2 linked regions of the Bombyx mori genome follow. The protein of the gene in region 1 purifies or fractionates together with the protein of each later gene. This does not show direct contact. Links are inferred from orthologs where the notes say so. Each region holds a gene or a part of one and is shown on either strand. Other genes may lie near its edges. The genes, in order: protein patched and sonic hedgehog protein.

Region 1 (3,832 bases):
ACCTTATGATCTAGTGATTAAAACTTAAAATTGCGTACAGGTGGTGCACGCGGCAACCCGAGTGACGGTTCACATGTACGACATCGAGTGGCGTCTGAAAGACTTATGCTACAGCCCCAGCATACCTAACTTCGAGGCTTATCACATCGAGAAGATCTTCGAAAACATCATTCCTTGCGCCATCATTACACCACTAGACTGTTTCTGGGAAGGCTCAAAACTCCTCGGACCCGATTATCCTATTTACGTTCCGTGAGTATAAAAATATCGAATCTTGAAATTATTTTTAAAAATCGATTGTGGATTCTTCGAATTATTCGAAATTATTTGGAAGTAACAGATAACAAAACGTTCTGTTTTTTTTTCCGTTTCAGTAATCTCAAACAAAAGCTACAATGGACGCATTTGAACCCGCAAGAAGTTTTAGAAGAAGTAAAGCAATTGAAGTTTCAGTTTCCTTACGGGACGGTAGAAGCGTACATGAAGAGAGCTGGTATCACCTCCGCTTACATGAAGAAGCCTTGCTTGGACCCAAACGACGCGCACTGCCCAAAAACGGCTCCCAACAAAAAATCGCGACATGTAAGTGTTGTTTTCAAATAATAATCGCCACGTTCTATTTGCAGTCCTCTTTCTGCCTCATTGTTAACGAAACGCTTTCAGTTAAATTGCGAACATACTTCTCGTGTCTTTGTAAACATTCCAGTTAGCATATATTATTTTGTGTGTCGAATATTTAGTTCGCTACGCTTGTTCGAGACTCACGATTGATAACCATTACGAGAACCTCCGGTCCTTTTACGGAGACTTCAATTTACGACAGTTTTATTAGCGCATAAATAAAACGTGTATAGAGAACATGAAAAATAAAACATCTTTATCGAAGCTAAACGCATAAACTTTAAATACGTTCCATAATAATAAAATATTTTTGGAAACGGTAATAAGGCGGGATGAAAGCGATCGCCGGCGGGCAGACGCAGCGACTACCTGCCGCGGCCGGCGCGCCTCCGAGAAAGTTACGTTCGTCTCGCGTGTGATACGATACCATCACGCGGAAACTCTCGTTTCGCAATCGAGCCCTCACTTACTGCCCATCGATTTTGACGTTGCAGTTCAAAGAACGCGTTACAATTCATTTAGAAAAAAAAGCGGTCGCAAGTTGCTACGGATACAAAATGTCTGTAACTTTTTTTTCCCCGAACTATTCTGATAGCCTTGAGAGGCTATATCAGCTTCTTGACGTGTAGGTGAGCTCACGGGGCTCAAACCGGGTGTGTTGCTAACACTGGCCCTAGCAAGAGCAGTGCTTCGCAGAATCTACCGGTGGATCGGAAACGCGACCCACTGAGAAGATTGTCTCTAACAAACAGCGATTTCGGCTTGCATTGATTGGGGTTCGTTTTTTTGAGTGCGATGGCAGTGTGCAGCGTCGCCACCCACGTTCGCTCGGGGGCCGGTCGGACGCGCATTGTTCGCTGCGCCGGACCGCGCGGCATTATACGGGTGCATTGTGCACGCTTCAATGGGCCTCGTTTGCCGCCGCCGTACCCACTCACAATGACACTATTATATCAATAATGCTCACCACCCAACCTACCTACACCTACTTCCACGGAAACCTCATAAATTTCATTCCTAACTTTGTTTTCTTGGACTTGTCGTGACCGCGGACTCTTCATTTGACGACAAGTTACTCAGAATTTTCTCAAACAATGAATTATACGTAGCCCAGCGGGTACTAAAAAATGTTCGAAAAATCTTTTTTTTTTTTTAATTGGTTATAAATTATTTAAGATTCTTATATTGAACGCTTTTTATTTCCTACCTATGCTGATGGCCTTGAGAAGCTATATCAGCTTCGCCCTAACGTGTAGATGAGCTCACGGGGCCGAAACCGGAGTGTTGCTAACACTGGCCATAGCAAGAGCAGTGCTTCCCTGAATCTACCACCGGATCGGAAACGCGACCCACTGAGAAGATCCGGCGAGAAACTCAGTGGGCTGTGTCTATAAGTTAATTCGCTCGTCGAGCCCTTCGTCGCAAGCGACGGGTTCGACGAGGACGGTGACCGGTGCTTGTGGTTCCTAAAAGCACCGTTAATGGATCGGGAGGATCCGTAATGAGAATTGAACGCGTATTTTGATATAAAGATAACGTTATTGTTCTAGGTTCCGGATGTGGCAGCAGAGTTGTCTCACGGCTGTTACGGCTTCGCAGCAGCGTACATGCACTGGCCGGAGCAGCTGATAGTAGGAGGCGCTACCAGGAATTCCACTTCGGTGCTGAGGAGTGCGAAGGCCCTGCAGACGGTCGTACAGCTGATGGGAGAACGAGAGATGTACGAGTATTGGGCAGATCACTACAAAGTGCACCACGTTGGGTGGACGCAAGAGAAAGCCGCCGTTGTACTCGACTCCTGGCAGAGAAAGTTCGCTGCAGTAAGTTTAACGACTACATTAACTATACGAGTATTAACTATATTTAACCAAATTGACATTTGCTATAATTTGATGAAGTAACTAATTTAATATTTAACTTAATATATAACTAATTTAATTTTTGGTAGGCAGCGGCTTAGCTCTGCCCCTGGCATTGCTGACGTCCATGAGCGACGGTGACCACTTACCATCAGGTGGGCCGTATGCTCGTCTGCCTACAAAGGCAATAAAAAAAAAAAAAAAACTTCATAGCATTTTGTTTTAAGAAATTTAATTTAATATGTTGTCAAATGTTAGCTTACAAAAAAATAAAATGTAAAAATCGCAAAAGAACACCCTCTATTTCTGTCGCGAAGTGATCTTACGAACCGTAAAACTGATTATTACGACAAAAAAATGGAGGTAAATTATAAAAAATATTAAAAAAACATATAATTCGGATGGTACATATTACGTCATGAATGTGCAGATTATATGTATATTGTCACGAAAGCACGTGAAATATATAAAAAGACATGATTTTTATAGTCTTCATAGGCTACATTGTGTTTATTAAAACTTAGACAATCTAAATTCGCCCATAACTACTTCTATCTCAAGAATGAAATGAATTTGGTTTACTAAAATTTTATGTATTGTTTGCAAATTGACATATTGAAACCAAACTTTGACTTCAATCTCTTTAATCACGCTAAACACTAAATCTCATCAATCGGTTTGTAATTAAACAGCTGAACTGTTTTGAACTTTTTGTAAAGACGTAACAGTAATCTTCTAAATTATTTTACTATTTATTATTTACATATACTAGTGATGCCCTGGTAGTCGAAATTCGACTATAATTAATTGAAATATAAGTTTGTACACTATTATGATTCTATTGTTAAAGACTTTTATACTTATACAATCACAAATTTCGTTAAGACTACGCTATAGAAAAATATTAATAAAGACAAACAATATTTAATCTATTCTCAATTTGACCACAGACGTCAAGAACAAAAGTTTGACAATAAATAAATAGTATTCATGCGTGTGTGCGTCAAATACATGGTAGTGTGTGTAATGTTTTTTTTATTGATTTAATGTATTTTTTAGTCATAATTTAAAAAAATATTAGCATTCGACACTCCTTCTCTATGTTCTCTATAATTGTGGGATATTTCATACTCCTCCGTCCGCGCAATTTTCGTAAAAAGAGATACAAAGTTTTTCCTTCGCGTATTAATTAATTATTTAGAAAACGATGTGTTAATCGTTCACTAACATTCCAGGAGGTGCGTAAGATGACCACTTCTGGCAAAGTGTCCGCCGCCTACAGTTTCTACCCGTTCTCGTCGTCCACGCTCAACGATATTCTCGGAAAATTCTCGGAACTCTCGCTCAAGAAC
Region 2 (4,475 bases), on another chromosome or scaffold:
TATCTTATTACTAAGTGACCTAAATCGTAGTAGGGATCTATTAACGAGTAATAGACAATTCCCAACTATAACAAAAAAAATATTTCCTTTACCAAGCATTTAATATATTGCTATTTATATAAATTCAATCGTAATTTATTTTCTTTAGCTCTTATTACGTTTATATATGTATTATTATATTTCTACTTCAACTATAAGGTAAAAACATAATAATATATAAGTATCCACGGAAATTAAACATTTGATATTTTTTTGACTATATTATTTGGTCTCGACATAGCTGGTCTCTTCGAAAACATTTCTACCTACTTTAATTGCTGCCACATAGTTAGATGCGTAGATAGATCAGGATGACGGTACGTACCGAGGTTATAATACAAACATTTTACGGACAGACTACTATCATTTGACATTGACCGACCTTAATAAACGTAAATAGGACAAGAAAAGTTTGTCATCATAGTTGGAAGAGTTGAAATGTGGCTTCAAAATATTATTATATAAATATTTTTTTAAAGCTACTGACGCAAATTTATCGATAATATGTTGTAGTTAATTTTCGTTTAGTTCCTCTTTTTTGTACAAACTCAAATTACTCGGAAAATTTATAGATTGGTTTACACTTTGAGAACTGGTGAAGCACATAAATAACCATTAAAGACCTATTTAAAAGTAATATTTTAAAATTTTATATGACGCTATATGTACCATAATTCTAAAAATAAATATTTTGTGCAGAAAATAAATAAGAAATGCAACAATACCCTATAAAGTATATATATTTTATGAAAATGTATTGCAATGTACACTGTCTGTTTATTTTTACAAAATAACACCTTTGTGACTGAATCCTTTTTATTTACAAGGGAAATATCTTAGCCTGAAAATTAATAGTAGTGATAAATAGGTGTAAAACTGGTTAACATTGCGTTCGCGGCCTAATGGAATAAGTGAACAAATCGTATGCGCGAAATTCTGGAATTCCTTGCACACGTACTTAATATTGTCTTATTTAATTAATTATAAGTACGTATTCATTGGCATTTAAACTGCGCAATTCTTTGAAGGTGCCGACCATAAAATATTTTTTATTTGCCATCGATTGCCGTTTATTTAATGTAAATATTTTTCGTTCATTAGTGAAGCCGTATACTCGTTACGAACTTTTTTTTTTTTTATTGCTTAGATGAGTGGACGAGCTCACAGCCCACCTGGTGTTAAGTGGTAACTGGATTCCATAGACATCTACAACGTAAATGCGCCACGCACCTTGAGATATAAGTTCTAAGGTATCAGTACAGTTACAACGGCTGCCCCACCCTTCAAACCGAAACGCACTACTGTTTCACGGCAGAAATAGGCAGGGTGGTGGTACCCAACCGCGTGGACTCACAAGAGGTCCTACCACCAGTAATTACGCAATTTATAATTTTGCGGGTTTGATTTTTATTACACGATGTTATTCCTTCACCGTGGAAGTCAATCGTGAACGTTTGTTAAGTACGTATTTCATTCGAAAAATTGGTACCAGCCTGCGGGATTTGAACACCGGTGCATCGCTACATACGAATGCACCGGACGTCTTATCCTTTAGGCCACGACGACTTCTATTACAACTATTAACTGTGTTATAGTGCTGTTTTCGTACTATAGGTATATGTAATTGATAGTAATTATCTGCAACATCGTAAATTCCTTCATGAACATTCCATTACACAGCGGGCTATGATTGTCTTACGAATAGTTTCATATTTTAAACTGAATGACTTACTATGGAAAAAAGTTCACATACTTATACTAAATCAATCGAGTTGTAATGATTTCATTACTATTACAAATACTTTATTCAAAACAAATTAAATAATTTATCCATTATTATATGTAATATATTTATATGAAATAACATACATATAAAATAGTTTACCAGTTAGTTGTTTTCACGTTAACACAAAGCAACAATGACAACGCAAGATACTCAATGCCTTCGACACCAACTTTTATGGTGGTCATATATTCACCGAAATTGACATCGAAATTGAAAAGAATCCATCATTCATCCATTAGTCACAGAGTCAAAATATTTGTTGACAAAGCCTGCGTAATTGCAGTGCTACAATCGGCACACTCGCTACGAAGCTACCGTAACGCCCGCAATTTGTTCCCATTGTTCCTCGAGCGTAATGTTTACATCGACAATTGTCATTCTGCACTCCAGGAGATGTTTTCAAAACAGCGTATGCTTCATCAGAACTGTTGTTTTCAAGGAAATCTTAAAAGCCGTAACGGGCCATGACGTCCTCTGTAGGTACGTCTTCGTATATAATTCAAAATCTACTTTAAAACGAAGGGAACTTTTGTGGCGGGTATCGTCTATCTATGTTATAGTAGCATTTCCTTAATTTATTTTATATCTAAAATTTGTAAATGATGCAACTATAATTTTTAAATAAATTACTTACCTGAGTCATTAGACGATCAGCGCCAGTGCCTTCGTCGTCCCTAAAGTCTATATCCGGATTATAATTAGGCACTAAGTCTTTAAATCTCTCGTCATCTCTGGTGATGCGGCCCTCGGGAGGACCACTGGCGGTGTTCTTATTTTCGCTAACATTCGGATCGTGCTGGCCAAAGACAAGGGGGGTGATGCGGCGCGGTCCGTGGCGACGGTTGAAACCGCGGCCCGGGCCGCATGCCGCCGCCGCACCCAACCACAGAAGCACCAGCGAGAGCCTCATCTCGCAGACATCACTCCACACGCGCTCGACGCACGACCACCGCGCGCCGCGACTTGAGCGACACTGAGAGCAACTGCCACAACCCGACTCAACTGCACGTCCACCACCGAGCCTGAACTTGCATCCCTTGCTTGCCGCCCGACACCCATGAGCAAGCATTCCCACCACCGTTAATCTCCCACTTCACTTATAACTCGCTACCCACAGCACATTAAGCGATGACGCGCTCCCTGGGGAAATCCTATTAACCTAACGCGGACGCAATACAATATACATAATCAACTACCCTAGTTTGTGTCAAGCACGGTTATCTCATTCACGAAATGACACATTTTATGTATTTGAGGTATATAAGTAAAAAATTGAGATTTACATATGAATGTGCTTAAGATATTATAAGCCATTTTCATTTCGATTTTACTAAATGATAAAAAATCCTACTGGTATCTGTAGATGATAAATTTTTAAACAATTTACAGAGCACCTGCATTTTGAAATCGGTAGATTGATGCACAGATTGAAAAAGAAGAATGTATCTATACTAATATTATAAAGAGGAAAGATTTGTTTGTTTGTTTGTTTCGAAAATGTTCCGAAACTACTGGACCGATTTGAAAAATTATTTTTCCATTAGAAGCCGACATTGTCCCTGATGAACATAGGCTACTTTTTTTTAAAAAAATTTATTTAATTTTTTTGGTTTCATGTGTGTTTTAATGTTTCCGAAGCGAAGCGAGGGCGGGTCGCTAGTCTAATATTAATGTTATAAATTGTCAAACACAATCAATCTTGTTAATTAATCAATTCAGAAACGTAGAATGTAGTTGGCGATAAACCCCCAAAAGGCACTAACTGTTCAAACATTATGCAAAATAAACATAAATTTAACATAAGCGTATAAAAGCAGAATCATCTTGAATTGATGTGTATTTTTTTTATTATAGGCTTGTTATGTGTATTCGTTTGAATAATTTAGAAATCACGTGTTCTTAGTGCTTATGTGTTCTGAGCATGTATTTAAATATTAGAATGTGTTTAAGTTTGTATGTTATTTATTTATGAAATACACCTACCGTGATTTTCTCTGCATCACCTTTGATTGACTTAAAGACATTACCGTATACATACGTTCGAAAATGTATAAAATACATAAAGTGTATACGTTCGAAAATGTATAAAATACATAAAGTGTACTAAATAAATAAACTAAACATGATATTAAAAGTTTTTATTCGTCGCTACCGGTACATATCTACATAGTCAAGAGAGTCGGTGATCAGAAATAATCATGAATAATAATATTAAAATTATTATTTTCATAATTTTACTGATATTAATAAAATTATAATGCACTATTTTAACGTACACTCATACCCACATGTAAATTACATAATAAGGATTTAAAGAATTTGACAACTGGAAGTACCTACCCATTTAAAAAATTATAAAAATAATAATTACCCCCTATGTAATATGGAAATAAATACACGTGACATAGAGATTGTTTTTCTAAAGTAATGTTTAATATTTAAAACGAAAGATTTATTGATGATGATTATTAGAATGGAAATTAACATTAATAAATTCAATTTGATGAAATGTCCATGCGCTTTGTTCTGTGTCATTTCTTTGAATTAGTTGAATAAATTTTACCGCAAACAAAACAATACCACGTGAATGCCGCCACCTAACTGAGATATAAATAAGTAGAATGATGATACCCTACCCTAGCAGGATCAC

What was found.
Region 2: the proteins of protein patched (region 1) and sonic hedgehog protein purify together in Drosophila melanogaster (affinity purification with western blotting; 3 studies listed by BioGRID). This does not show direct contact. The link is inferred for Bombyx mori from reciprocal best matches to the Drosophila melanogaster genes ptc and hh.

The regions. Positions count from the first base shown.
Region 1 is NC_085111.1:13,397,039-13,400,870, reverse strand, and holds part of protein patched, read left to right. Parts: intron 1-40; coding exon 41-252; intron 253-374; coding exon 375-582; intron 583-2,171; coding exon 2,172-2,441; intron 2,442-3,715; coding exon 3,716-3,832. UniProt on the Drosophila melanogaster protein: Segmentation polarity protein. Acts as a receptor for the hedgehog protein (hh). Associates with the smoothened protein (SMO) to transduce the hedgehog signal leading to the activation of wingless, decapentaplegic and patched itself.
Region 2 is NC_085115.1:6,252,054-6,256,528, reverse strand, and holds the start of sonic hedgehog protein, read right to left. Parts: upstream 2,944-4,475; 5' UTR 2,895-2,943; coding exon 2,460-2,894; intron 1-2,459.